Styela clava: one gene and its partners. The protein of the gene in region 1 purifies or fractionates together with the protein of each later gene. This does not show direct contact. Links are inferred from orthologs where the notes say so. Each region holds a gene or a part of one and is shown in the gene's direction. Other genes may lie near its edges. The genes, in order: 26S proteasome non-ATPase regulatory subunit 14, uncharacterized protein LOC120332416, proteasome activator complex subunit 3-like and TGF-beta receptor type-2-like.

Evidence for each region.
Region 2: the proteins of 26S proteasome non-ATPase regulatory subunit 14 (region 1) and uncharacterized protein LOC120332416 purify together in Homo sapiens (affinity purification with mass spectrometry; 11 studies listed by BioGRID and IntAct, with this or other methods). This does not show direct contact. The link is inferred for Styela clava from reciprocal best matches to the Homo sapiens genes PSMD14 and PSMD10.
Region 3: the proteins of 26S proteasome non-ATPase regulatory subunit 14 (region 1) and proteasome activator complex subunit 3-like purify together in Homo sapiens (affinity purification with mass spectrometry, with the first as the bait; 3 studies listed by BioGRID). This does not show direct contact. The link is inferred for Styela clava from reciprocal best matches to the Homo sapiens genes PSMD14 and PSME3.
Region 4: the proteins of 26S proteasome non-ATPase regulatory subunit 14 (region 1) and TGF-beta receptor type-2-like purify together in Homo sapiens (affinity purification with western blotting; 3 studies listed by BioGRID, with this or other methods). This does not show direct contact. The link is inferred for Styela clava from reciprocal best matches to the Homo sapiens genes PSMD14 and TGFBR2.

Annotation. Positions count from the first base shown.
Region 1 is NC_135263.1:668,335-676,163, reverse strand, and holds the start of 26S proteasome non-ATPase regulatory subunit 14, read left to right. Parts: upstream 1-4,829; 5' UTR 4,830-4,906; coding exon 4,907-5,032; intron 5,033-5,551; coding exon 5,552-5,629; intron 5,630-6,152; coding exon 6,153-6,265; intron 6,266-6,731; coding exon 6,732-6,882; intron 6,883-7,829.
Region 2 is NC_135262.1:2,710,893-2,718,375, forward strand, and holds the start of uncharacterized protein LOC120332416, read left to right. Parts: upstream 1-4,471; 5' UTR 4,472-4,474; coding exon 4,475-4,603; intron 4,604-5,945; coding exon 5,946-6,190; intron 6,191-6,802; coding exon 6,803-7,130; 3' UTR 7,131-7,483. UniProt on the Homo sapiens protein: Acts as a chaperone during the assembly of the 26S proteasome, specifically of the PA700/19S regulatory complex (RC).
Region 3 is NC_135250.1:5,804,050-5,811,594, reverse strand, and holds proteasome activator complex subunit 3-like, read left to right. Parts: upstream 1-4,535; 5' UTR 4,536-4,586; coding exon 4,587-5,360; 3' UTR 5,361-7,464; downstream 7,465-7,545. Other genes in the region: exocyst complex component 2-like, read left to right, coding at 7,508-7,545. UniProt on the Homo sapiens protein: Subunit of the 11S REG-gamma (also called PA28-gamma) proteasome regulator, a doughnut-shaped homoheptamer which associates with the proteasome. 11S REG-gamma activates the trypsin-like catalytic subunit of the proteasome but inhibits the chymotrypsin-like and postglutamyl-preferring (PGPH) subunits.
Region 4 is NC_135252.1:2,400,350-2,407,367, forward strand, and holds the start of TGF-beta receptor type-2-like, read left to right. Parts: upstream 1-4,009; 5' UTR 4,010-4,027; coding exon 4,028-4,267; intron 4,268-4,624; coding exon 4,625-4,796; intron 4,797-5,234; coding exon 5,235-5,475; intron 5,476-6,176; coding exon 6,177-6,277; intron 6,278-6,650; coding exon 6,651-6,786; intron 6,787-7,018. UniProt on the Homo sapiens protein: Transmembrane serine/threonine kinase forming with the TGF-beta type I serine/threonine kinase receptor, TGFBR1, the non-promiscuous receptor for the TGF-beta cytokines TGFB1, TGFB2 and TGFB3.

The DNA of each region.
Region 1 (7,829 bases):
CCAGGTTGTGTGTCATTTTGGTACAAATACTTTCGGAGCGCCGTCTGAAGAATACTTTTTTATTAGAGCTTCAAACAAATATAAGATTAGAATTTTCATCTTAATCTTGGGGAGAGGAAAGCTGACGATACGGATTGATCATATGGTTACTGGTAATCTACTTACACGTAATCGTATCCCACAGGATTAGAGCTTGTGAACACATACAGGGTGAACATTGTTGCAATGTTGTTGTTGGAAACTCTCATTATCAGGACTGGGTAGCAGTATTCGGTGCCATGGAGCTGTGACATTTTGGTGAAGAAAAAGCTTGCCATGTTAGATGGAGCCAGAGCTACCAGAAATTTTATTGGCTCCAGCTTCTAAGCATCATTCTCAGCTAATAATGTTGATTTAAAACGAGAAAAAGAGACCGATATGACGGCACACATTATTTCAAGTGCCAAGTTTGGATCGGAAAGTCAGTTGAACGCAAAAAGAATATCGGTAAAATGAACCTCGACTAAACTTATTTAAGAGCAGGTTGCGAGACCAATGCGACACACCTTCGACACGCCACACTAAACAATGCCAATTGTTTGAACAACAAACTATAGCGCTGACACCGACAGGCACCTGATATTTGATTCATGGCAAGCATTAGTTAAAAGTACTCAGTACACAAAACTCCATACCCAGCTCAGCTTTGAGTAATTCTATTTGATTGTATTACGATAGGACCAGGATGTTTGGTTGTAATAAGACGGGATGGGGTGTTTGGTTGTATTAAGATGGGTAGAGGGTATTTGGTTGTATTAAGATATGACGAGGTGTTTGGTTGTATTAAGAAGAGAATCGGAAGTTCGGTTGTATAAAGATGGGAATAGGATTGTTTGGTTGTATTAAAGAAGGAATGCGATATTTGATTGTAATGAGGAGGGAAGTGGGAAGTTTGGTTGTAATAAGATGGGAAAGGGATATTTGGTTGTAATAAGATTGAAATGGATATATTAGGATGTGCATGAGACATTTGGTTGTATTAAGAAGGGAATTGAAATATTTGGTCATAAAAGATAATAATTGCGAAATTTGGTTGTATTAAGATGAATAGGGATATTTCGTTGCATTAGGATGGATAGGGATGTTTGGTTGTATTAAGATGAATTGTAATATTTGGTTGTATTAAGATTGGAATTGGGATTTTTGGTTGTATTAAGATGAATTGTAATATTTGGTTGTATTAAGATTGGAATTGGGATTTTTGGTTGTATTAAGATGGTATCGGATATTTGGTTGTATTAAGATGAGTTTGGGATGTTTGGTTGTATTAAGACGGCAACTGGATATTTGGTTGTATTAGGAAGGAATGGCTTGTTTGGTTGTATGAAGATGGGAATTGGATTGTTTGGTTGTATTAAGGTGGAAATGGGACATTTGGTTGTATTAAAAAGGGTTTTGAAAATTTGGTTGTATTAATATGACAATTTGACATCTAGCGATAGCTGTACCACCCTTAAATTAATCAAAATGCAGAAAATAAATTGCACGTGTCCCAATGATTTCAGTATTATTAATATGAGTTGGTTAGCACTAAGCCTTGGAATCGAATAAATGTTTGTTCAATTCACAATGTCCTGGCTTTCTGTTCATATATACGGTTAGCCCAGTCATGATTATTTTCACTAATGGCTCTATTGTTTATGCAACCTTCATCAATTAATCTAAACTATGCATTCCTGCTTTATTTTCAAATGGTTGATTTAAGAAATCGAGATTGTGTTTATAGTTTTCTGTGTTGCTTTCAACAAGCTTAAAATATACAAAATATGTTCCCTAATTCTGTAATCAGTTTTATTTATTTTTTTATTTTTTTTCAATAATTTTATCGTCTTTTATGCTAGCTGTGGAGTCAAAAATAAACTTATAAAGATTATATTTCAATATTTGCTGTCCTAGCGCCAGGACAAACGGGGGACTAGCATTCTAAAACCTCATTTGTTGATTAATCTACAAATAGTTCCTTGGATGAGATAGATTTGAGAAATACACAAGAGAGAGAACAATTTCTCTCCCCGTTTCAGAGTAGTGAGTCAGTTTGCATAGGATATATTCCGATGCGAATAGTAAAGAAAGAAAACGTAACATTAGATAAATGTTCAAGAAAACATATCATTTGACTCTTGAAGTTTGAAGTCATACACAATTGCTAGTATCCTCTTATATGTCAGTGAAGTATGTATGGAGTCATGATGAAAGAGAAAAAATGTAAAACGTAGGCCTATAGGAAAAATTAACAAATGACCCGATCACATGAAAACCAACAGCGTGTCGTCGGTTTCCAGTTGGGTTATACATTAGAGTAGACCAGCGTTTCCCAAACTGTGTTCCGTGGTAAAAACATTAAAAATACGTCTAAAATGGCCGCCATGGCGATTTATGGAACCTGAAGTTGTCGCCCAACTGACCGTTCGATATCGCGTCATCGTCGGCCTAAAGTGAACCAACTATAGGGTAGTGGCATTTTCATTAACCGTCGGTCTAGCTTGTTGACTGATAGGTTCATTACAGCTATGCTGCTGATTTTGCTAAATGCAAACAAGTAGGTCTAAAGAATAAAGGGGGCTCCCGAAGTATGCGAACCAAGATGGCGGACATCGGAATGTAATATGTGTACTAGGTTAGGGTTAGGCCATAATTTTAGGTATAAATACTACGGGAGGCTCTTGGCTAGTCTTCGAACTGATAATAGGACTAAAATAAGGAAAATTGGAAAAAAATTATCGCCTAACCCTAACCTGTTACCCATGTTACGTTCCGATGTCCGCCATCTTGGTTCGCATACTTCGGGAGCACCGAATAAAGACATAAGATCAACTCTTCTTCCTCCATATCTGCTTGGTTTTACTTTGAAATGCTGAAAAAATTGCTAAACTCTATTCAGTAGATAAATAAACTGCAGGTTTGCCGCTCGCGAAATTGCGGCAAGCACCTTTATCACCATTAGACGTAACATTAAGGGCAAACACTACGTTAATTTAAATTAAGAAACAATAAAACATTTATAATATATGCAATTTGTGAAATATTCAATCATATTTTAGGTATGTTTAGCACACTTCTGTTAGTTTTCGCGGCCCATTTGGCAACTTGCCACGAGAACCCATTGGGAACCGCTATATACATTAGGCCTACAACATTTTTCTTTATCCATTTTACTTTTACTCTTTCATTTTTTTGTGTTCCGCGAGGCGAGATAAAAATTGTAAGTGTTCCGTGGCCGAAATAGTTTGTGAAACGCTGGAGTAGACAATCCTTGGAATAGTCAGGTTGCTGAACAACCGCCGCCTTCATGGTTCCTATTTCTTTATTTCGAAGTCAGTGCGTCACGGAGCCATTGGAATATACTGTGGCGTCTCTGGGGTATGGGAGCCATTGCTCGTTCCATGGGCGCCGTTTGATTAGGGTAGCACGAAGGCGAAAATTTTAATTGTAAAATTTTCAACGAAATAATCCAAAGTGTAAATGATTGAATATCGCGTTTTTACTCATAACGTATAAGTATCTTAATTCAACAGCAGTCGTTAAAAATTGTCATTTAACGATCAAGTGGCGCATATATTTGGTATAAGTGCGTTTGTTATAAGTGCGTCTTGATGAGCGGGCACATGATACTCATCATGTTTTAAATTTTTTTAAAGGTTTTGCTCGAATTCTCCATTTTTAATTTTTTTTGTATTATCATATTGTGGAGTTTTCGAAATAAACTATCTATCTATCTAAGTGTGGGTTAATTTTGATTACCCGAAAAAAAAGAATACTTCTTCTTCTTAATGTAAGTAAGAACAGTAATAACAATACACTATCACCATTTTTTGATGTTTATTAATTTCAACTTCTTGCGTGTGAGAGGTAGTGTCTTATTTCCAAATAGTTTCTGTGTGTTCGACTCGTGCTACAACTCAATTATGTTACGCATCAATGAATACCATGAATAAGCAAATATCGTTTACCCTAGTCATGATTATCGTGTGTGCCTGAATTTCGTTTTACCTGTTGATGCCCAACACAGGTCTGCAAGTGGAGAGTTTGCGAGTTTCAGGCTTTTGTAGTAAGGGTATGCCTCAGTAAAATATCTGGATAAACTTGGCATTATGGACGGGACCTGGCAAGGCACTTGTATTCATTAAGTCTGTAAGTTTTGAAGTATAAGTTTTATTTCAAATCAGAAGCCTACAGCTGTCTGACTGTACAACAACGATAAAATAATTGTTGAAAAAAAAATTAAAATTGATTACTGACTCTAGAACTCTGCCTTTCTATTAATTTTGAATATACTGTATTGGGTATCAGGCATACCCGTACTTCTTTCTCGTCTTATTGTTTATATTTGTAAAATACTAGTACCGGTAAAGGATTTATGTTGAAAGGAAATTTTCCTTGACAAGTAAAAAAAATTACTCAAAAATAGCAATGTCAAAATGTTGTATAGTACAGTAGTGCGTATCTAAATTATGGAATTTATTTTTTATAATAATAGCAGGTTTATTTTGATTAGCATGAAAGGTGATAGAATAATAGCCTAGTTAAAATAAAATTAAAAAATAGCCTGCTAGCTGAATGGTTACAGAAAGCTTAAGTGTCTTTAATAGCTTAAGTGTTTTTTGTAGGTGTGCTGGTGAGCAGAAGCATGGTACTTTCACTTTTTTGCTGTTTCAAGGGTTTTACTTGCTCTGCAGAATTCTCCATTTTAATTAGTGTATTTAGGAAGGAAGGATTTACATAATTATCTGTATTATGGAGTTTTCAAAAGTATCTATCTTATACAGTTAGACTATATTAATTTGTTTGAAATTATCATATCTCAGACTTTTTAATGAAGAAACTACGAGCTGTTTCTCACATTTCAGCTCACATTTAAAATATAAGAATGGATAGGTTAATGAGATTAGGAGCGGGTGGGGGACTTCAGGGATTTGGACAACAACCCCAGTCTGATGCTCCCATGGTTGACACAGCAGAACAAGTTTATATTTCATCGTTAGCTTTATTAAAGGTGAGAAATTGTGATTGGTGTTTTTTATTTCTTGTGTTTTAAACGCCAGTTTTCAAAATTTTCTGTGTTCGTCTTGTGTATCATACTTCTTTTTATCATGGTGTAGTTCAAAATAAAATGTCTTTTTTTTATGTCTCATGGTTTGAAACTCATTTGTAGTTATATTGCTCAATTTCTCTCTTAGGTCTGTGAGTGTAAAATGTAAAATAAAATTAGAATAATAATATAGTCAGAATAAATTAATCATATTTTTGTATTCATTAAAAAAAAACTAGGTTGGCTTCCCACTTTGCGATAAGTATTAAATTTGCAATGATTAATTTCAATAACCTAATCAATGTTGAAAAATCTAAGAAGGTATATTGGTCACTGAATCCAACACTAGCCACTTACCCTTCCAAAATTCCCTCAAAAACAATGAAGTTACAGCATAAACAATGTTAGATAAATCAAATTTCTGGATAAACCTCTGCAGGCTCTTTATGCAACTTACAGACTAACATAAATTTATCTTTTCAGATGTTGAAACATGGCAGGGCTGGCGTACCAATGGAAGTCATGGGTTTGATGCTCGGAGAATTTGTTGATGATTATACGGTGAGATATTGTTTGTACTCAATACTGACTGAAGATTGTAATGAATATCTGTATTTTTATACACCTTTCACTTCAAACAAGACTCAGTTACCCTATGACACCAGAAGACACAAGGAGTCCAGCGATCTTCTCTGCATATAATTATCCCTATTTAGGTATAAATTCATTACGACTTCATAATTCAGCATAAAAGGCAATAAAAGAATTAATGAAAACAAAATAAATATGATTAGCAAATCAGGAAAGTGAACAAAATAATAAATAAGTGAGGGTTTGAACGTACAAATTTTAGATGAAAAGTGTTGTCAAAAGAAGTGTTCATTCACACAGAATTTGAACTCGCGACGGGTACTTGGAGGTGCAATGGAAGGCATATTTCTAACTATGAGCATGATGTGTAAACTGCCAAGCCTTCTTCCAAAAGCTTACAATGCTTGCTTGTATGATGTTAAGATGGAGTAAAACACCTCATAAAAACTCGGAACAAGTCAGGGCTGATTATAAATTTTATCCTTTTTAACAGGTCAGAGTGATTGATGTATTTGCAATGCCTCAGTCTGGCACTGGAGTCAGTGTTGAAGCTGTGGATCCGGTGTTTCAAGCCAAGATGTTGGACATGCTGAAACAGACTGGAAGGTATGCTGATATTAGTTGTGTCAGCCTACTTAGGAAAGTGTGGGGAATTTTGTTTGCTTCGTGATGATAATAGAATAACAGGATTTCTATATTTATCCTTTTGGGAGTGGGAAGCCCAGAAAATGATGTTTTGGGTGGTACTGGTATCTGACTCAGATGACTGTGAATGGTTGTATCGATACCACCCAGTCATCTAAAACTTAATTTTTCCCATTTTGCTATCATATATATTTTATATGTTTTCTGGTTTAACGAAAAAAAAAATTCTTTCTTTCTCAATCATATGGCGAACCAAGGACTTTCGTCTGGTTACCAGTTCATGCAGAGGCATAGTTGGCTGGTCATTCGTTTCAAACGCATGGACTTTTGAAACAAACATGTTTGACCACTTGATGCTTCTTATGCAGTGTGTTTTGGTTTTAATAAATGTGTTGAAATGACTAATAAAATTTTTTTTTTAATACAGGCCTGAAATGGTGGTAGGTTGGTACCATTCCCATCCTGGCTTCGGTTGCTGGCTATCTGGTGTGGACATCAACACCCAACAAAGTTTCGAAGCGTTGTCCGAACGAGCTGTTGCCGTCGTGGTCGACCCGATTCAGAGCGTTAAAGGAAAGGTTAGTCTTGTCATTATAAATGTCTAGAACAGGGGTTCCCAAGCTTTTTTCAGGACGACCCCAAATACATCTTTCAAGTTTCCAGTGCGACCCCAGGTCAATATATATATATATATTTCATGAAACTCTAGAGCTTGTTTCACTGGACTTTTGAGTTTGGTCATGTCGTGGTATTAAGTAAAATAAGCTAAAACCAAACAAGCGCCTACATTTTCTATAGAATAAGCATGCCTATGTTCCTGTTTTAAAGTAAGCCATGGACTACAAACTGCTAAATTTAACTTGGTTTGTCAAATCTTAGATGCTTTGTACATCCATCCTCTACCATACCTCAGCGACCCCATGACCTGTTTGCGACCCTACCTACTTATCACTCAAACCCAAATTGGGGTCGCGACCCCTGGTTTGGGATCCCCTGGTCTAGAATATAATTGTTTTCTTCACTGTTGCTTCAAATAACGCTCGGTACAGGAAAGCAATCAGACCACGGTCTCTCAAGCTGGGCTCTAGGGGCCATGGGCGGGCGATTCTCTGGTAGTCATTAGCTAAGACTTTCACCGATTATTATTTTTCAATTCTTCAACTGTAATGCATATTTCCATGTTAGTGTTGTGGAGATTCACATAAATTATTACATTCATTTAAAACTAATACCAAGTACTGCAATTTGTTTTCCATAAAGTGGTCTGTAGCAAAATAGGACGCTCCAGAAGTGTGTGTACCAATACGGAGGTAACTAATTTTGTTTGCTTATTTTACATCAAGTTGTGTAAAGGGACTGAAACCTATAGGCAGGGGATATATTCACTTGGCTAACACAGAACCCGCAATAGAACTAAAATAAGGAAAATCGGAATAAAATTATGGCCTAACCCTAACCTGGTACACACAATACTGGAGTAGCAGGAATAGTCTGTTAATTCCAATAATTCTCAGTTTGATTGAGC
Region 2 (7,483 bases), on another chromosome or scaffold:
TTATGTAATTATGAAACATGTTAAAGGTTGGACTAAATGACCTTGCGAGCCACAATTTTTCCGACTTCTTACTTGTGAGAGCTAGCACCATTTTACGGTTAAAAGTCTATCTAAGTGGGTTTATTTAACAAAAATGAAGAAGCCAAAACTTTTTGTGGCAAATAGGAGATATAGGCTATTTGCAGGTCACTCGAAGAACTGCTGTACTTGCTTATGTTATAATTCTCTAATAGTTAAAGGCAGTAAATATTTTGTCGGAGTCAGGAAAGAGTAGTTATGTTGCATAGTTAAAGTTATAGGATTAACAGCTGTCTTGTTAGCATAAGATTTAGAATGTTATTATTACCAAACAATTGGCTTCTAATAAAGTAATATGTTTATCTGGAAAATCATAATCTTGGTTTTCTGTTCTGCAAAAATGACTTTGACTTCTTGATTAATGAAAACTTTGACACAGACTCTGGGTTTGAGACTCTAATGTATTCTATTTTTAATCAGAATACTTGGCGCAATTTAAATAAATGCAGTTGCTATTTAGGTTTAAAATAATATGGCCCATACTAGGTAACTCGAACGAAACTGGCGATTATGTGAAGGAACAGTGCTAAGGGAGTTGATTAGAATAAGGAAACACTACCACAATTCGTCTTACCAGAACTAATAAATAATGTTCTAATGGTGATAGACACTGCATTTCGCGCGGGCCCAAATACCTAATGAAATTTTCAGATATTCTTAATGAGAATGCTTAGTCAACTCCAAATGTATTTTTTTTTTCAGTTTCCATGAAAGATTTTGAATTTGATGTCAAAAATTTCCCCTTTTGGAGAGTTTGAAAAATGTGACTCTGCAATCAAGACAAACTTGCCAATCTTCATCCCTGCAGCTGTGATTGCAAGTCAATGCAGCATGACCAATCAGAACAATTTTACTCCAATTACTTACTCACTATATCATTCCTATTTTCCAGAATAAATATGACTTACTTGTTGGCTGTTTGACTGAGAATGCTACGCGCTGTGTGTTTTGGTATTTACTGTTGGATTTGTATCGCGTAATACCAACATGAGCAAGGCCCATCCACCGGGATCAAAGAAGTTTATGGATAAGGATTGGATTGCATACCGTGTTTTTGCATAGACTGTTATGAAACATTCAATCTATTTACAAAGCTTGTTTATTTAGTAACAATTTTTTGTTACTGTGTTATTTTTGCACAGAAATTGAACTACAGCATCACCAATGTTCCCTCTAATTTTTTGTAGTATGTGTGCGCAGGAATTTTGGTGTCTGCGCACTTTTTTGGAAATGACTAATATTTGTGCAAAAACCAATGAAGAAATTTTGGCGTTCTAACCGGGTAATGGGTGGGCCAACAACAAACTTTCTCAACCTGCTAACCGAGAATATTGTTACATTACATCGAAATACGTCTGTGCGCAGCCTCTGAAAGCTGTGTGCGCGCGCGCACTTTAGAGGGAACACTGAGCATCACCATTTCGACAAGTGTTTTTTATTCCCTATTTCCATAGAAAAAGCACTGTAGTGTATTTATTAAATTGTATTTATAAATTGGGACCCACCGAGTGTTTATGTTTACACAAGTTTAATGCCCGAACGATACCCGTTCGTGTCTTCGTCTTTTTTATTTTAAATATATGTTTGTGTTGAATGTGGGTTGTATATGCATGTATATTGTCACGGACCATGATGTTGTTACCGTGGTTGTAGAATGAATCAGAAGACTCAAAGGTTCCGGATTGGTTGTTTATTGTTCGGCAATTCCAATATCAGACTTAAAACAACATAAACAGACAACACAACAAAATATAACTAAGGAACCGAAAACACGACCGCCCGCCAGCGCGGCAGCCGGAGAAGAGAGATCGAAAGACAGTTTTTGCCTCACATGTAGTGAGTGGTCGGAGTCCAAATCCGACAAAACAGCATTAAATAAATGTCAACATAACAGTCTACGGACCTTTCCCCGAGTATCGACTTCCTTGTTTATTTCGTGACATTGGCCAATCAGCAAGATGCGAAGAGTGACGTAACAATGCCCCCCTTTTCGCATCCGCTCAGACACTTTTCTCACTCAGACAGATTTTCAAGGCTGGTTGTAAACATTACCTCGTTTTCGCGTTTTTGAACTCTATTCGTTAGTTTTTAGTTGTATTTCAGAAACTTAAATAAAAATCAGATGATTCAATGATCACGCTGTCTTCCTAGGAGTTTTAATTTAATTGCAGTGATAAAAATTATTGTAGAAATAGCTGTGATAGACTAGCCTGAAATTCTTTACCGGTACTTTTAAAAAACAGTATGTTGTATGCGATGAATCATAATGATGGTTTGAAACACATACCCCATTTTACAGGCGCCAACTCGCAAAAGCACTCTTAAAATAGCCCTGAAAATTTTGCAATGGTAAAGTATAGGAAGAATTTTTCGAGGGTCAAAGGTCGGGGAAAGGTCCATAAACATAAAAATATATATATACACAAAACATAAACGCGGACACTTTAGTCCGCGACAATATCTACAAAGATTTTGCCAGTTTCCCCGATTTTCTCTTCTTCTGTGTGTTCATTGTTTGTGTTTCGTGTATGATTTTTGTGTGGGAAAATCTAAATATACTTATACTTTGAATGAAAATGATAGTTTTTAATGCGTGAGCCTGTTTGTAAGCGCCAACTCTCCTGAACACTCTCAAAATCAGCGTTGAAAATGTTGCATTGATGAAGTATATATATATGATTCTATTACAAAAAATCGTTTTGTCGGCAGTTGACAATATCGTTATAATTCAAAGTATGAGTCAAAAGGTTACATATACCATACTACATAAAATGCCAGAAAACTGAGCGCAAAATATTTAGAACATCTGAAAATAAATTTGTTTTAGTGACGTTTTATTCCAAATGGATGATAACTGCACGCAAACTCGCGTATCGTCATTTTTTTCCCCCTTATTCAAGTACCCAAGATTGTGTTTGTAGCAATCTTGAACTTTTTATCCTATTTAACCCATCTTTAAAAATAGATATAGTAATCACATTTTCGTAATATATTCACTTGAGCGCATTCTTCATACCAGGTCAAAGGTTATTGAAATATGTTATGTCATGTTTCCATGAATAGACAATTTTGCAAAGGAATGCGGGGAGCAAGCGTCAGTATCGCCATGGTTATATCGCGTTGTGGGATGTCAGAGGCGATAATATTTATGATTCTTTTCAAGTGGCATTCATATAAATAAACATGTCTATTTAATCGATATAGCAGGCTTGATTTTATGTCAAAGGGCCATTTAAACATATAACAAAGGCGGTCTCGCGAGCCCTGCCTTTATTACATTCTTTGAGTAAAATTATACCCGGCCTTTTGTCTGACTTTAATTGTTAGCTAAGGCGCTCTGTCGGCGAAGGAAGTCGGCATACATCTGGAGGCTGAATATCATATGTTTATGATTAAAATTGTATCAAATGGGAATGTTTTTATGTAATTATGAAACATGTTAAAGGTTGGACTAAATGACCTTGCGAGCCACAATTTTTCCGACTTCTTACTTGTGAGAGCTAGCACCATTTTACGGTTAAAAGTCTATCTAAGTGGGTTTATTTAACAAAAATGAAGAAGCCAAAACTTTTTGTGGCAAATAGGAGATATAGGCTATTTGCAGGTCACTCGAAGAACTGCTGTACTTGCTTATGTTATAATTCTCTAATAGTTAAAGGCAGTAAATATTTTGTCGGAGTCAGGAAAGAGTAGTTATGTTGCATAGTTAAAGTTATAGGATTAACAGCTGTCTTGTTAGCATAAGATTTAGAATGTTATTATTACCAAACAATTGGCTTCTAATAAAGTAATATGTTTATCTGGAAAATCATAATCTTGGTTTTCTGTTCTGCAAAAATGACTTTGACTTCTTGATTAATGAAAACTTTGACACAGACTCTGGGTTTGAGACTCTAATGTATTCTATTTTTAATCAGAATACTTGGCGCAATTTAAATAAATGCAGTTGCTATTTAGGTTTAAAATAATATGGCCCATACTAGGTAACTCGAACGAAACTGGCGATTATGTGAAGGAACAGTGCTAAGGGAGTTGATTAGAATAAGGAAACACTACCACAATTCGTCTTACCAGAACTAATAAATAATGTTCTAATGGTGATAGACACTGCATTTCGCGCGGGCCCAAATACCTAATGAAATTTTCAGATATTCTTAATGAGAATGCTTAGTCAACTCCAAATGTATTTTTTTTTTCAGTTTCCATGAAAGATTTTGAATTTGATGTCAAAAATTTCCCCTTTTGGAGAGTTTGAAAAATGTGACTCTGCAATCAAGACAAACTTGCCAATCTTCATCCCTGCAGCTGTGATTGCAAGTCAATGCAGCATGACCAATCAGAACAATTTTACTCCAATTACTTACTCACTATATCATTCCTATTTTCCAGAATAAATATGACCGATTTGATAGTAAATATGTCAGCTGGAGTTTCAAACGAAGAAATTTGTAATTTTGCTTACGACGGACAACAAGCTCTACTGCAATACAGAATATCACAGAAGCCACAGTTTGTCAATATTAAGGTGACTTCTCATTTTCATTACTTATCGATCTTAAGATCGGTAAGTATATTGATAGGTATTTGTCTGTATGTCTGTGTGTGTGTCTGTTAGATGCACGCGATATCTCACGAAAGCGAGATTGAATCTGCTCCAGATTTTGCATGTGCATTCATCTTATCTCGGACCAGAAGCCTATTGATTTTGGGCGAATTATGTCGTATAATTAGCGAGTTATCAATCAATTATTGATATAGTGATCTAGATTTTTGTAAAGCGAGAGAATTTTGAAACCCGCCGAGTGTGTGTGTGCGATGCGCAGTGCGCAAGTTACAAGAGCGGATGAATCGAAACTGCAGTTTCTGTTTTGGGGGATCCCCTAACTATCGATCGATAAGTCTTCGGTTTCCAACCGATATTCTCGTTTTATATTTTAATTGGTAAAGATGATTCAAGATTCTTGCAGTATACACGCATATATTATGTCAGGGGTTCTCAATGTTTTGGTGTTACTATTGTTTACGGAACCCCACAATAAATTTATAAAAATAAAAAAACACATTGTTATTTACCGATTATTGCTCCTGAGTAAACTGAAATTACTTTATTTAATGATTCAAATGTATTCGCTGCTTAGTTTTAAAAAAAAATATTCCTCTGAGTTTCTCTCACAGAGCCCTGGGGCTTCGTTTGGTTCACTTCAAGAACCTATGTATTATGTTACGTTTCATTTGACCAGAATCAAATTCCTTCCTACAAACATATTTTAGTTGTTTAGTTACTTATATTTTTATTATATATTTCTGTGGTATATTTACCAGATAAATTCACACAAGCCACTTTAAATATATAGGAATTAAATTTGGTAGAATAGTAGCGCTAGGGATGAACATCATTTTGATTAGTTTTCGTTTTTACAGTGTCAAAAGTTAAACTAAGCCATAATAAAATAAATTCATGTGAATATTCTGTTAAAATCTTTCCTGGACCAAGAATCACTTATAAATGCAATTGATCCGAATTTGTTTGAATTTCCAATAATATGCTTTGGGCATTTCGGACTGTCACTCACCATATAGGCCTACATATGATAAGTATCAGAATAGCTAATTAATAGTACCAGTATGAGTGACAATTATTGCTGTTTTATTAAGCCATGTCTTGTTTTGTCTGAAGAAATTAGACTATGATCTATTGAAAGCTCACAAATATACTTGCCATTTCGTGGAAAGAGATTATGTTATTCTTATTTAATCATTCTTCTTATTTTACAAGCTAAGAGTTATTGGGAAAGTATGGTTCGCCATATAATTACCTCATTTGATCTTTCCCTTCAGGCAAATAAGAAAATGTTTTCCTATTTTAGGACCAAACAGATCGAACACCACTACATTGGGCAACGTCTGCTGGGAAGCGAGACATTGCTGATTTCCTATTGGACAATGGAGCTGATGTGAATGCAAAGGATGACAGTGATTGGTCAGCTCTTCACATTGCTTCGTCAAATGGGAATGAAGAGATCGCTTTTGCACTGATGTCAAGAGGTGCTGCGATAAATGCAAGAAACTCAACAGGACAGACTCCTTTGCATTATGCTGCATCGAGAGATCGGTAATTTTGTTACTCAAAATTTACTTCGTGTACTATTTGGTTTTTTTTTATAGGCAATATAAATGAAAGAGGGTTTTTTTCAATAAATAATTTATATAATTAAGATATACAGTAATACTAAACAAAATGCCCCATATGCTCAAGTAGTTGGTCAAATAAAATGGGTCTGGTTTGAGAATAAGAATGTGGAACAAATTATTCGCCCCAGATGGTAATGAACATGGCATTTTTGATTTCCTTCATTAATTAATGATTTAAACAAGCCACAAAAAGCAGTTATTCAATGTTCTAAGCTACAGTGGCTCTTAAATAATGCATTTTATTTAAAGATAATAGTTAATATTAGAGACTATTCCTTGTGTAACAAATGAAAAACCTGTGCATTTATTAAGCATCTTTGGGTGAAGGTATCGGATCTTAATACCAGTGACAATTTATTCAGAATGTATTTGAGGGGACATAAAACCCACTTTGCTTCCATCTTTTTGCCTGTCACACTCTCATGTAATAGAATTCTTTGTGACTTGGGGTATCCTGCTCATCTCAACTTTCTTTTACCTAGGATCATGTATGAAAAATTATTCCATTCTGACATGATATTTGCTTTTACAGATACAAAATTGCAGAGGGTTTACTCGCCCGCGGGGCAGAAACAGACGTAGCGGATCATCTCCACGCAACACCGTTACATCGAGCTGCTTCACGAGGGAACACTAAGATGGTGAAGCTACTACTTGCATACAACACAAACTACAATTGTACTGATTCAGAGGGGAACACTGCTCTACATTTAGCTTGCGAAGAGGATCGTGTCGACATAGCACAAACACTCATCTCAGCTGGCGCTGATACTACAATTCGTAATAAAAATGATAAAACACCAATAAGCCTGGCATCAGACACGACACGTGGTATACTTAGGCGTGTAAGAGAAGCGTAAATAAACACTATTCATTTCCCTTTTATCCCCGGTTGTTCTAATCGACTTTTAAGTGAGTACTTTATGTCAAACTAGAACAGCAAACTACCCATGGGTCTACTAATCAGTCCAGCTTTCAAAAAAATTTCATCTCCAACTTCAAACCAACTTTTAATAACAAAAACTTTCAAGAATGCAAGCTTTCGTGAGCAGACTTTATAACCTTTATCTGAAGAAAATTTGTAGACTTGTATGATGTTAATTTAGATTGTATTCAGAGCCTGCTTAAATACCGGTAATCAATTTATTTTACTTCAAAACAATATTATCCATCACGTTTTTGATTTTATACCACTTTTTCGTTTGATAATTCA
Region 3 (7,545 bases), on another chromosome or scaffold:
CATTCGCTAATGTGAATCAGCGTTGTTGGTGTCGCTGCTTTCGAGGTCACTCGCCACTCCTGTCACACAATTAAAGTATTTTTTGTTGTTGGTTACACGTATGTCATATTTTTCATAATCTACCTAATAAATTATGATTGACTGAGGAAGTCCGATTTTGGTCAGGCAAAACATTACAGGAATACATTTGTGTTAGTGTGCTGTAGGGCTCTCGAATTGCATAGTTCTTATGTATGTGTTGTGAACTTATGGTTATTGAATTTCCGGGAACCTCTTATATTCAATTTCGCATCAGGATTGTGGAACAAGCTGTAATGCGTTCAGTATGTTCATTTTCACACTAAACTGAAGGATTTATTTAGTTACCAGATGTGCGCTACGAAACTCATTTTCTGGGCGTTTTCAAGGCTTCGTCTCACGGCCCATATCCGTTGTAAGGATCTACAAGAGTTTAATAACTTACTTATACATTTTTCAATAACGTCTTAGCATAACTTAACTAATAATAACTAAACAGGGCTATGGAAAGGCTGCCCAACTCAACGCAAGCTCGAGCAGTAATAACTAATATTCATCCGCTCGCTAACAGCTGATTCGATTCAATTGTTACGTCATGCAGAAGTCATTGTTCATTGTCGAAAATGTAGAGAATATAGGACAGATCGTAGCACAGATTTTTTGTAGTAAAAGCGTCTTTTCCGTAAAACGTGCAACTTTTGGAAGTGGGAACAAGGCAATATTTGTTACTACATTTTTAAGGAACATTTTTAAATCATTTTCAGGTAGTTACCTGATGTGCGCTACGAAACTCACTTTCTAGGCGTTTTTCATGGCCTCGGCTCGCGGCCTACTATACCAGGGGTGTCAAACTCGTGCGTTTTCAAGGGCCGCATTGCATTTTGGGAATTGTGCAAAGGGCCGCAAACAGCTTTTGATATATTTTGATAATGTATACTTAAAAGCATATTTTCAGATATGTGTAGTGTGTGACATATATTGTGATGCAATTAAATAGCCGAATGAAGTTGTTATTTTCTGAAATTTTAAATGGCATTTACATAATAATTTCTTGGTATTTCACTTATTATTGCAAATTTATTTATTCCAAAAAACAATTTTTTTTTACAACTATCCAAAACATTTTTGAACAAAGATTTGATAAAAGAATAATACATAATAAAAATGACTTAATCTAAATATATACCCCTAAAAGACTAACGAATAAACTCCCATGTTTTTTTTTTTTATTATATATGTCCTGACGTTTGGCATCTTTTGTGCCACCAGCTTACTAATATCGGGCTGAATTGATTTCACAGTATCAACTCTAATTAACGAGCAGGGGCGTAGCCAGGAATTTTCAAAGAGGGGGGGGGGGGGAGCTCTGAAATTTAGGTGTGTACGAAATGTCGCACAACCTGAAGATAGTATGTGTGCCAGGTTAGGGTTCAGGTTGTGCGTCATCTTGGTACGAATACTTTCGGGGCGCCGAGTTGACAGCAAAAGGTGGTCTGGCAAGAGCAACAGGCCGGAGGCCTCAAAACGCAAGGTTTCTAAGAGAACTGAATGTTTCCCCGAGCATCAACTTCCTTGTTTACTTCGGGACATTGGCCAATCAGCAAAATGCAAAGAGTGACGTGTTTCGCATCCGCTCAGACTGATTTTCAGGCGTCGCCGTAAACATTACCACGTTTACGCGTTTTGAAATCTATTCGTTAATTTTTAGTTCTGTTTCGAATATTTAAATGTAAATCAAATAATTCAATGATCACTTTGTCTTCTTAGAAGTTTCAGTTTAACTGCAGTAATAAAAAATTAGTGTAGAAAATAGCTGCAATAGACTAGGCTAAAATTCTTCACCGGTACTTTTACAAAACAGATTGTGGAATGCTATGAATCAGAATAATGGTCTGAAGCAAAATACCCCATTTTACAGGCGCCAACTCGCAAAACCACTCTTTGAATAAGCACCAAAAATTTTGCGATGGTTAAGTATAGGAAAAAATTGATGGGGGTCAAAGGTCGGGGAAAGGTCCATAAATCGCCTTATTCAGTCACAATCACATCGCTTCTACTTGCCACGGCATCCGGAGCCATAAAGTTTCATGCGCTTATTCGGCGCGTGGCAAGTCGCGCCTATTAGTCGTCGTTTTTACACATTCCAAAAGGGGGGGGGGGGGTCGACCATTGGCATCACGTGGCATATGACCGCTTGGATTATGATTTATATATATTGATTTTTAGTAACTAGGTAGTACGATAATTATAATATAAACACATAAAAATAAATGTGCCAAATTAAACAATGTGCTTTAGAATTTTGAGAAATACAGAAATATTGCAACCCCCTTTTTTTCGAAAATGCCAATTTCTTTGTGTACATTGCGTTTCATTTAGTTCCTGAAGTGTTGTTTTTTTCAATTCTTTTTTGCTAGCTTGAAGTGTATCCATAATTGGGTCAAATTGAAAATAAAAAAATCAATTTTTCAAAACTAGTTTTTGTAAATTGTCCTTTTTGTGTGTGAATAATCAATTAGATAAAAAATACTTACAAAATAATTACAATTATTGTTAAGCGTTCGAGGGCCGCATTGGAAGTTCTCTGGGGCCGCATGTTTGACACCCCTGCCCTATACTGTAATGGTAAATACGGCTGTAATGTATTTATATGGGATCATCTCAGATCGATGGAATACAAACAGAAAGTACTACATAGTACCCATAATAAGAGTACGTTTACCACCCCCAGCCAAACTCATTGATCCAGCACATTATAAGGTCAGATATCCGCATTTAGAGATGAAGCCTAATCAAAATATCACAAACAAAATGACAACATATGTTTTGATCAAATCCTCAGCCAGTAGAGCGCTAGAACTTTATTTCAATATTCAAACATACTTTGACCAGATACATTGCCGATAAAATGTTTAGGGTAATCGTTCTGGCTTTCGTAATTTTGAAAGTAAACCGTTTCGTCTGAATAATTCGATCACAAATAATTTTATGCGCAAAAAATTATATTGTGTTGGACAAGAAATTGAAGAGTTGGTGCTTGAATAACAAACCTTAAAAACTTTAATCAGGTATTTTAAATGTTTTCTCGCGTTATTGCTTGCTTTTGGAGTTATTCCTCGGAGGGGATGTTTTCTGGTGGGAACTTTGTACAAAGGGTTCCCATCGTTTTATATAAATTGTTATTAATAGTTTCCAATATAAAAAAGTGGTGTTGACAAGCGACGTCCTATTTTCTATACTAGGATGCATTACAAGTTACATTGCATTATATTGTCACATCTATAATATGGTAAATAATGGAGGATACGTACGCTAATCACCTAAGTAGATTGGATAGTACGTTAAATTTAGATACATTTTGAGAAACTCGAGGCTATAATAAAATGCCACGGCACCAGAACATGCAATGAAATCCAAATCCAAAAAACGATGAAAATCAGAGAGATTATGCTTTCGGATCATTACGAATCACATCAGCACGACAACACTGAAAGTCGAATTGAGTGACACCAGGCTAATCATATCGGCCGCGGGAAATTCTCGTTTCTTTGACAAACGTGAACCACCCTGCGACGACGAGGAGTCTGGGACGTCTCTCGCACATAATTATCTTCACAGGATGCGCACCTGCTGACCCACACGGGGAAATCAGCGGTGCGATGCCAAATGTGATTCTAACGGTTAAACGGTTTACGATTCCGGCGCTACAAATTACTATTTAATCAGCTTGTTGCGTAGTTTTTAGGAAAGACAGCAGTATTATCTTACGACGTGCTAAGGTCTGTTTGATTTGGAGCCTCGTTACTCGCACACTACCCAGTCCGGTTATCACTTTATCACAGCTTGAAGCAAATTATCCGTGAAGAACGTTAGGTTGTTTCCGTTTTCAGTGTATATAAGACAAGTAATTATAATATTGATTCAAATCCAAAGACTGCGCTTCCCAGTTCTACGAATGACATTGGAATTTATTCTATCCGGAATTGACTCCGCGCAATACCATGAGTCACGATGGGCTAAAAAGATTTATTTTGCGAGTGGCTGTTTTCTGAAAGTTTTGAGATTTTAATTTTCATATCTCAATATAAGACGATATTACCGGTAGTGTATAGCTCCTCAGTAGTACGGGAAACCAAGAAAAATAGATAAGAATTCTCATTGATTCGTGCAAGTGCAGTGGTGACAGAGTTGGAGTTTTGGAATCGAGATAGGCTGCCGATACGTTCGTAACCGGTACCGAAAGAACATAGTTTGGTCAGTTTTTCTCAGTTCGGAAGGCTGCTGTAGTGACTACCCCTATAATTCAATAACCCTTACTCTGCCTTTACACTACCGGCTGGCCGGCACCATTTGTAAATTTTGCTACAGGCAGATAGACCACTGGCCTATAGAAACTAACAGTACTAGCGTTTTTCATGTTTTTATGTATAAGCCTTTTACTTAGGCCTACTAAAACTATTTACTGCAGTACTGTAAAAATTGCTGAATTTGATAGCAGAAGGGCTTTTTTCACATTTCCACACTCTTGTATTACAGGTATTTAACTACTAAAATATCAAAATAAAATAATGGATCAAGATTTACAAATCAAGGATAAGCAACTGAGGAAAGAAATTTCTGATTTTAAACTTGGAATCGCTAAAGATGCTGAAATTTTAGTCAATGAATTTTTTCCAAAGAAATGTATTGAACTAGATAAATTTTTAAAAGAAGATGTTTTACAGACTGAAAACGTCAGAAACATTGCACAAAAACTTGAAATTCCCATTCCAAATGCAGTTATTGTGCAAGACTTTAATAACGTTGATGGTCATGTTACGAGCCCCAAAAAACGTAAACTTGATGTAGGACCGGGAGGTGACATTGATGGTACCAAAGTATTTTCATTTGCTTGTGGTCCAGTGCCCTGCAATAAAAATCTAATAGCAATAATCGATCGAATAAAACCCGATATTCGTCTACTGATGGAAAAAGTTAATACTGTTCGAATGTGGGTGACTCATCTTATTCCAAAAATTGAAGACGGAAATAATTTTGGAGTCTCAATTCAAGAAGATACTCTTGCAGAGTTGAGACAAGTTGAAAGCGAAGCGGCTTCATTTCTAGATCAAATATCACGATATTTTGTCACAAGAGGTAAAATTATCACCAAAGTAGCAAAATATCCTCATGTTGAGGACTATCGTCGCTTTGTTGAGGAGATCGATGAGAAAGAATTTCTTAGCTTGAGACTTATAGTGTGTGAGCTGAGAAATCATTATTCCATTCTTCATGACTTGATTCTAAAGAATATCGAAAAAATCAAGAAACCGAGAAGTTCAAACATTGATGGAATGTATTAAAGTCTAAAACTTTGGCGAGAGAGTATGATATGATCCAAAAAACTATAGAAAGCCAGGATATTATTGGACTCAAGATGGCTGGTGCAAGAATTAGTTCATCCTCTGTATTTGGCGAGGCATTTTATTGAAAACATTTTTATTACGAATAAAAGTTCACCATGAAATTTTTTTAGCTTGGTAAAAAATTCATTCATCTGTTTTTATGCTTATGTGTTTTGAGCCTGTCTAATATTGTCACAATTGCTGTTTCGCATTAATTTACTATTTTATTATTTCATTCAGTCTGCCATTCTTTGTGTTTTATCTGGCTTTTATTGTGAGGGTATTTGAATAAATTATTTGACAAACTATGGAATCAGAATGATAATACGCAGGTGATGGATATACAATGATAAAAAATATTGTCCAAATTCCAGTTGCTAAATTTAGGTGTATTGTTGAATTTAGGAGGTTTTGATTGTATCTTATTTTATTATCTGGTTCAATTATTGTTAGCTCTGAGTGTTTAAATCTCGTTTTTAAGTTGTCAATTGTCTAGGATGCCCATTAAAATATATTCTAATCCGTATTTATTCATAAAGCACAACTGTTGGTAATAAATGCCTTCCCTCCCCACATGCAAAGACTTTGAAAGTGTTAAGATACTATTTTCCAATAGTTGATTGTTGTAACATTAATAAGTGAAGTATCACTTAGAAGAAGATTCCTCATACTATTTAAGACTCTGACCCCTATTAGTCAATCATTTACTGATTACCAGTTATACAAAATAAAATTTGATTTCCAAATTGTCCAAATACATAAAACCTGTATTTGTTGCAAGCCAAACCCAGTTGGATTACGACGTTATGACCATATCAAAATAAGACTCCCTGTACTATTGAGGACTCCAACCATATTAGTCAATCATTTACTAATTACTAGGTATACAATTTGATTGTTTATTATTAAATAAAATTCCAAATTTCCCAAATACATAAATTCTGTATTTGTTTTAAGCCAAACCCAGATAGCTTATGTCGCTAAGACCATATTGTCAATATTAATATTACTATACCCATTCCGATTTATAACCTTGATGGTTTTCCAATAAAGGAATCTCGTTGTTAAACTGCCTGAATCAAGGTACTACATATTCCTGATTTCAGTATATTTATACCTGTTACATCTTGTCCTCTTCGATTTTGTAAGACATGTCTGAAAAATTGGGATCTTTTGTAGAAAGCCTCTGACAAAAAAACATCCCAGCGCTCAAAATAATAAAAAATTGGTGATTATCCAATTACAATTAAAGAATGATAGAATTCATCTGTGAATTCAGAGATGTCAGGGTTAGCGAACCTACAATTACCTAAAACAGGGCAGGTGAGGGTGTTGTTTTCAAGGTGGCGAGAGCTTTCTATAAAAGGTTCAAAATTAAATTGGTAATATGGTGGGGATGGAAAAAAAGACCTATCTTTTCAAGCACCATTTTCACCAGGTCTGCACGGTCCGATCAAGTATGCAATTTTGGATTCAGGATTTATGATAAAATTTAACTCCCGCTCATGACTCCGTAGTAGAATCAAATACAAAAACATTAGTAATTGTCGTATTTACTGTTTTGTATGTATATAATTATAATGGGTTAGCATTGTATTCTGTGGTGTCTGAAACAGTCATTTTTTTCTTGTTATTTGTTCTTAGACGATTGTTTTGTAGTAGCTCCCAACCAGTGAAAAAAACATTGCTGAACAGCATACTATTTATCCAAACTGATTTACCACTGTATGTGGTTTGTACTTTATTCCATATTTGTTTAAATAAATACTGTAGAATTTCACAGCGATTATGACGCAATAATTTTACATTAATGCTGGTTGCAATTTTAGAATTGGTGATAATTTTGACGGCTTGGCGCATGTGATTTTATTATTGCGATTGTCAAGTTATGTAATGGAAGTGAACATCCTCATTAATTGAGTTCATCGTAAGTCATTATGGCACTGTTTTAAGTGAATATTCCTGTAAAAAACCTGCCATCTAATCGCGGACATGGTGGCCATTTCCGTCTGTATTTTCTTCTTTCAATGTAATGAATCAGTGATATTAATTCTTTGTACAGCCTGGTAGTTAATTAGATTTCCTGAAAGGGGTCAAGGGTCATAATGGGACCACCACCAGTTGTGACAGGAGTCTCTCCAAA
Region 4 (7,018 bases), on another chromosome or scaffold:
TTTCCGTGTATTTTATTCAAATCTCGGTCATGGCTAATAGCCTGTTGTGTTTTGTAGTTTTCGTTTAGAGAGGTTACGCGTTTTTCATTTTGTGTACTTCCTATTATCAAATTTAAATTTCAGATTTTAATATATATTACCAATACACTCCCTAAAACACACAATGAAACTTATTGCGAGATGGTTTAGAATTTTAATGAGAAAATGGTGTCAATATGTCAGGACATTATTCCAACTTACGCTAATATATTTAAACAAATCAGACTCAACGTTTTGAGCTTAGCCTAAGCCCTGATCTTAATTAATCGGGTTCAACAATTAGCCCTTATACTGTGTTCTGGGGCTGTATGCGAACGCGTAACTCGGGTTTCTCGAAGCGTAACCAAACATCACTTTCTCCCAACCATCCTCGACAAAGCGAAGTGGGTCGCTCTCAGTAAACAGTAAACGAGCGTATCGACTTTCGTCGCTCAGTGACGAATTGTAGTCGAGTAGGCGTTCAGTTCGTTCATGTTGTTGTAAAATCATATTGTCAAGGCATAAAAGCATAAACAAATTTATCGATTTCTGTAGTATTTGGTGTGCACAAGCTTGAGAAAATAGTGTAATCAGAATAAGATGAGTTCTGGAAAATAAAAACGCCGAAACGCATGTATCGTGGCCGATTTATTACATTCAGAACTTTATAGGGTACTTCAAGTTGTTGATCTGGGGTTTGGTAGTCGAAAGGTCTTAATTTAAGGCAGTTAATAATTCGGGATTGTTTGTACAAAGCTCCCGCAAAATAAAAATCCGCCGACGTTTAAAATAGGGAAATTATTAATTATCCATTCTGGATCAGGGTTAGGCTTTCATATTGGGCTGGGAATTCAAATTTTCAAAGCATTCCTAACTCGATAATTACTAATTTTTTTATATTAAAACGTGGCGGGGTGTTTTTCCTAAATCTCACATTTTTACATTCGTGGCGGAAGCTTTGTATGAAATATTCATAAATTGTATGTACGTATTTCTGGTTTTCACCCTTTCCAGTTTGAATGTCGTTTCTTTTCAATCAGAAGAATAGCGAAGAGTTTAGCTTACAACAATGCCACTTTTGTGATTGGCAAATTCTTATAATCTTTCTGTAAAATGGAACCCTTTTTGCCATGAAACCACCACGATACGGGTAATCGAATATGCGAACAATTTATTACTTCCTGGAAATAGGATATGGTTACATGAATGTTGCTGACGATACAAATCTAGTGAGGTCGCTTTCAGTAAACATCGAACAAGTACTACAGTGAAAGTACAGTAGAGTGATTCCTAAACTTGGAAATGTTCGTTGGGCACTCCCTAACTTTCTGGCGACTTACGTTGGAAGCTGTGAGTGTTTCAATAATAGCATTATTTGAGTAAAGAGCAGCAGTCCGCTTAATCATGCGAGAGTTCCATATTTCAGCAAAATTAAGAAGTTCAAATGCGTAAATTTGGATTGAAATTAAGTGAGTACGAGTACCGTTGTAATTACGCTTAGTCCGACTTTGCTTCCGATTCAGTCGCGTCAGCCGACTAATGCTTCGGGCATTCGTACGGGATCGCATCGATTTTCGCAGTGTTCCCGCGTACGAAATATTTGCGAGATTAAATTGATTTCGCTGAATTCAAAACTTTTTCAAAATCTCCATTACATATAATCATATTTTAATTAACCGAAGTGAAAGTTTACTGGATATTATCCTAATATTCACGTAAAGTTAACAATATTAAAAATTACAGGAGCCCGTAAATCAGTTACGCGTGAAACAAATTTCAGACAATACCTTATAATCAAACATATTTCCATCCATGAACTGCGCGGAAACATTTACTGACTAAAAATAATTACAATGTACAGTATTCAGTAACTTTAAGGTACCTTGTTGTTAAAGAAAATTATAACATAAAAGTGATGAATAAGTGTGCAGTATGCCATTCCGGTAATAATTCTTGAAGTCCATTGAATGCCACCCCAGGGAATTTAGACGTCGGATGTTACGGCAGTGAAACCCTTTTACAAGGCCACTGTAATTAACCTATGCTGCAAGTAAAGTTTACATTGGATGTACCATTTTGAAACTTTGAGAATAAATATCAAACTGCACCCGAATAAACACAAATTCAAATTTTGATCTTATCTAATGCCACTAAGAGAATACTCATAAAATCTTACCGCACTTGTTTACAATAGGTTATGACATCCAAGCATAATTCAACACAAAACTTCGAACATTTTGTATTGAGCTGAGAATTCAACTTCGCGATATCGAGACAGATTAAAAGTTATTGGATATTGAAACGTGTCGAAACTCCAAATAAATACGGTTTCTTCTGAAAGTAAACAGATAATCCTAGGTAACTAAAAATTAAAAAAAACTCTATCAGACAACGCATTTCATTATGCAGAATATTCAAACCTGGTCAGCACCTGAACATAATGACGAAAAAACCTGTCTATAATAAACTAACTGTTCCATTCGTTGGAATCTTAAGCTGAACTCACGCTCATAATCTTGAAAGCTAAGATAAGAACACAAACTCGAAATTGATGCATCGGACCACCCGTTAATGCTGTTAAAATCCGATTGGTTACTGCTTTCTATACAAAATAAGATACAATTTCAAAAACTAAACATTTGGCATGTTCTTTTTATTATTTTAATATGGTGACCGTACATTTCAACCCATACATTTGCACCCGTATATCCGCGGGTTCAATCTATAAGTGAGTGCTAAAATCCATGGGTTAGGGTTAGTATGGGTTCAAACATTCGTAAAAAAAAATTCCATAGGTGTAATAGTAAGCAGTTGCAATTATTGTGGGTTCAAATGTAATGGAACCTTCTAATATATATTGATTGTTACTGATTACTTTTTCTAAACGAAAGTTGAAATTTTTCGTACAACGCCAGATTTTGATCTGTTAATGGTTGCCATTCGCGTATCACAAAATGGCATAGGTAATAAGATATTTGGAATACTATTTCAAACAGTTATGTGGATACTATCCTTACTTGAAAAAATGCTCCAATTATTTATCTGAGTGCGGACAATTGCATAGAGTATAGAGCTCAGCTAGGAAGACGGGTTTCGAATCGAATCCCATCGTTGGTTTATCCAATAATTGATGAATAAACATTTTCTGTTTCAGGAGAATCAACATATTTAATATAAATCTAGTTGGTTTTGATTTAGTATTCTTTCGCTCAACACGAGTACAACTTAAGTCGTTGTTAGTTCTACAAACACGCCGATTTTTATGAAAAATACAGTTAGAATAGCAATATCTGGACGACTTTATGAAAATGTGTTTACTTTATTACGTGGGGAATATACTTTAACACGTTCGGAAGTTAAAAAGCAGTTCCTGTGGTTGTTTTTCGATATTTATTAAGGGAAATTTTGTATTTTTCCAAATGAGTGATAACATTTTAGCAAGATTTATTAATTAAAAAGAGGGCCCCTGTATTATTCTACCCGATCTGATTGCCCCGAAGACAGAAATCTCGCAATTTGTCCTTATGCGAATAGTACAACGGAAAAATATCATTGAAAATAAGATCGAATGTTCTGAACGGACTTATTTTACAACGAAACCGTTATATATATGCTAAATTTCAATTCAAAAAATGTATCGTGATTTACAGCAAAACGATAGTTTCGATCTTCTAAATATCTACACCGAATAAAATGAACTTTTTCCAAGTTCAAACAAACTACTCGAACGGTTCCATTATATTTGAACCCACGACAATTGAACCTATGGAATTTTTTTACGAATATTTGAACCCATACTAACCCTAACCCATGGATTTTAGCACCATCATATAGACTGAACCCGCGGATGCAACGGGTACAAATGTATGGGTTCAAATGTACGGCCACCTACTCGAACATCTTAAAACAATTTATTTCTCATTCAACATTTGCCCATCAAATTTATTTTTGGATTTTACTTAATAATATAACTCTATCACTTTCCATTTAGCAGTTTATTACTACGGACATGGGTAAACATATAAAGCTTAATGTTGGCATATTGTCTGTCCTGATTTTATTTTCTTTGCCGTATATGACTGTATCAATGGGATGTCTATCTTGTGAAGAATCCGACGCACAATGCAACGTGACGCACTGCTACACACAAAAATGTGAACAGACAGATACATGTGAAGGAACATGCCTTCTTACTGTTTCCTTGAAACCTAATCAGCAAGACACAGCGTTCACAATGTGCATGAACGAGGTAAAGTGAACTTAGCTTATTCAATTCGTGGATATCCAATGGGCAGATGGATTTAGTGAGTCAACGAATAATAAGAATAGGTGTATGGGATGCAAGTCCCGATTTTCTAAAAAAAAATATCAACTCCTCAGCAAATGTTTTATGAATCATTTTTTCACATCATTTTTCGGTTGAAAACGAATAGGATATTTATTTTGAGAATTTATTTGTTGCTAAAATTGTTACTTAACAGTTCGGCCCTTAAGTTTGAAAATTAATTTGGTAATTGCGCCTTATATGAAACGCCTTATTGTATAATCTGACAAGGGTTCTGTATCAATGTTAAATATATGTATAAATATATTCATGTACATTCAGACAAATATTGCATCTGTGTACGGCGAAGAGGATCTGGGGCCTACTTGTATTCAGTCTCGTGAACCAAACTATATTGCTGAAGAGAATTTCAGCACAGTTAGCTGTACGTGTCAGTCTGATAATTGTAATTCCAACATTGTTTTAATGAAGATAGAACCTCCGACTGATGCGAGTAAGTTTGTAAAGTTTCAACAAATCCATAGCACATCTCCACTAAGGCAGTGGCGTTAACACAACCTATTGTCGGGTCTGTCCATGTTCCACGTTTTGTATGACTATATTCAGTTTGACAAACATAATTAATCATGTACCTATGCGATGGTAGTTATTCAATACAGTCGAGAGTACTAAATGCTGTTAAGATCACCGCAGACCTTAATTCTCCCGAATAATATACCTTGTATACCGCCAACGTTTCTGTGCAAAATGCTTAAAATACGTTGACACTAAAGAAATTCTCTGTATCGTTTTTACTATTCTGAAGATTCTTTGTGAGATCTGTGGCAAAATTGTGTGAAACTCAACGATTTTGTATCATTTAAGAATTAAGTTATCGCGTCTTGTCCGTGTCATCCTGATACTCTTTTTGTTGAGCATTCATTTTGTTCAGAAGAAGAAAAAGATGCTGACATCACGGCTACTCTCGCATCCGGTATAGCGGTTGGTGTTGTCCTAGTGGTCGCCATTATCCTGCTATTTCGACTGATTGTCGTTCGACGAAGGAAACTAAGTGACGAAAAGGAGAAGCAGGCAATGGCTGGCGCGGGTCAAAGTCGATTTTCAGCCGATAGTTCAAGCTTATTAGAAAGTGCATGGGATGAAATGGGAAAACATAGCTGCTCAACCTACAAGTAAGTTGTTGGAGCTTAATTTCATTTGACATTGTGTTAATTTAGCTTCACTATTTGCAATCAACATTGTGTTTTGAGCGGTATACTTCAACTTTTTACTACGTGTTACATCTTTTCCAATTTTCCTCTTTGTATACCCCACAAATGAAAAAAGTTTACTTAATATCATATAGTAAAAAGTTGTTTCGTGAAGTCATGCCAGAAGTCTTACTCTGGTTTGTGGTCGTGGACAGACTAACACTGTACTTATGAATTAGTATTAGTGTTGAACGTGAACTGCGCGTATCTTTTTCAAAAGCACAAAACGAGCTGTAGTATATTAGGCCCAGGCCATAGCTTTAAATCCTTTTATACCATTTGTTATTTGTATATCCGGTATCTGACTTGGTATGTATACCCGTATACCCAGTTGAATAGCCCTGGGTCGAAGTATTGGAACCCGCAACACAGTGTACTCAAACTTGCCTTTCCGCAACTGGTTCATTTTATAATAAATATCAGACTGGAAATGTATATGTATATACTGTACTGAGTATTACCATATTGCCAGGTAATTTGTGACTGGCATATTACTATTTCGATGCATTTGGAGAAAACTAGGATTTATGATATTTGAGTTGAATACTATTTTATAAGTTTCAGTCAGATGCTTGCTATATGCTTTCATTCTATTATGATCAAAACAACCATTTCTATTATAGGTATTCAAACAGCGTAAGTTCACACTATAGTCGAGGATCGAAAGGAAATGCTCTCAACCAAAACGATCAACATTTGCCTATTGAAAAGAGCAAAATAATAGGTACGCATAATATTGACTTTAAACAGACTAACTTTTCCTCTCCCGGCCTCTAAATTTTTTGAAATGTGCTAAGCATAATATTGCAGATTCTTTCTGTAATTGTTCTTAAAAATAGATTTCGAGAGTTAATCCAATTATAGCTAGATTTAAGTGACGCACTTAGTCACTAAGTCTAGATTTATTGATATATATTGTACGTATGTACATGAACAATCATTTAGATTTCGTCGCACGAGCCTACAAAAAATCTGAAAGCATTCTGGTTATTCGTTCCCACGTAACATTACGAAATCAAACAAGACCGAAACTTCGCTCTGCTTTACAATCCATTGGCATCTATTGCAGTATTAAACTTTTTGTCTGCCCTTTATAGGTCGAGGAAGATTTGCAGAAGTTTGGAAAGCGAAGTTACAGCAGGATAATCAAACAAGCAAAGTTATTTCTGTCAAAGTATTCAGACTTCCTAACTACGGTGCTTGGAGACAGGAGAAAGAGATTCTTTCGGAAAGGTAAAAATTAACCTCGTTTAATTGGCTTTTATCAGTATTTGAAAACTGTCTTTGCATACTTGTAGGCTGAGGCAAAAACGGCTCCCGCATTCCATTTTTGAAAAAAAATAGACAAGAATAGATAGCCATTGTTAAATTTTTATTACATACTTAGGAAGGCATTTGTTTCCCATGTAAACTACTTTTTGAAAACAACATCTTCAAGATCGCGCGATACAGCTGCAATATATTT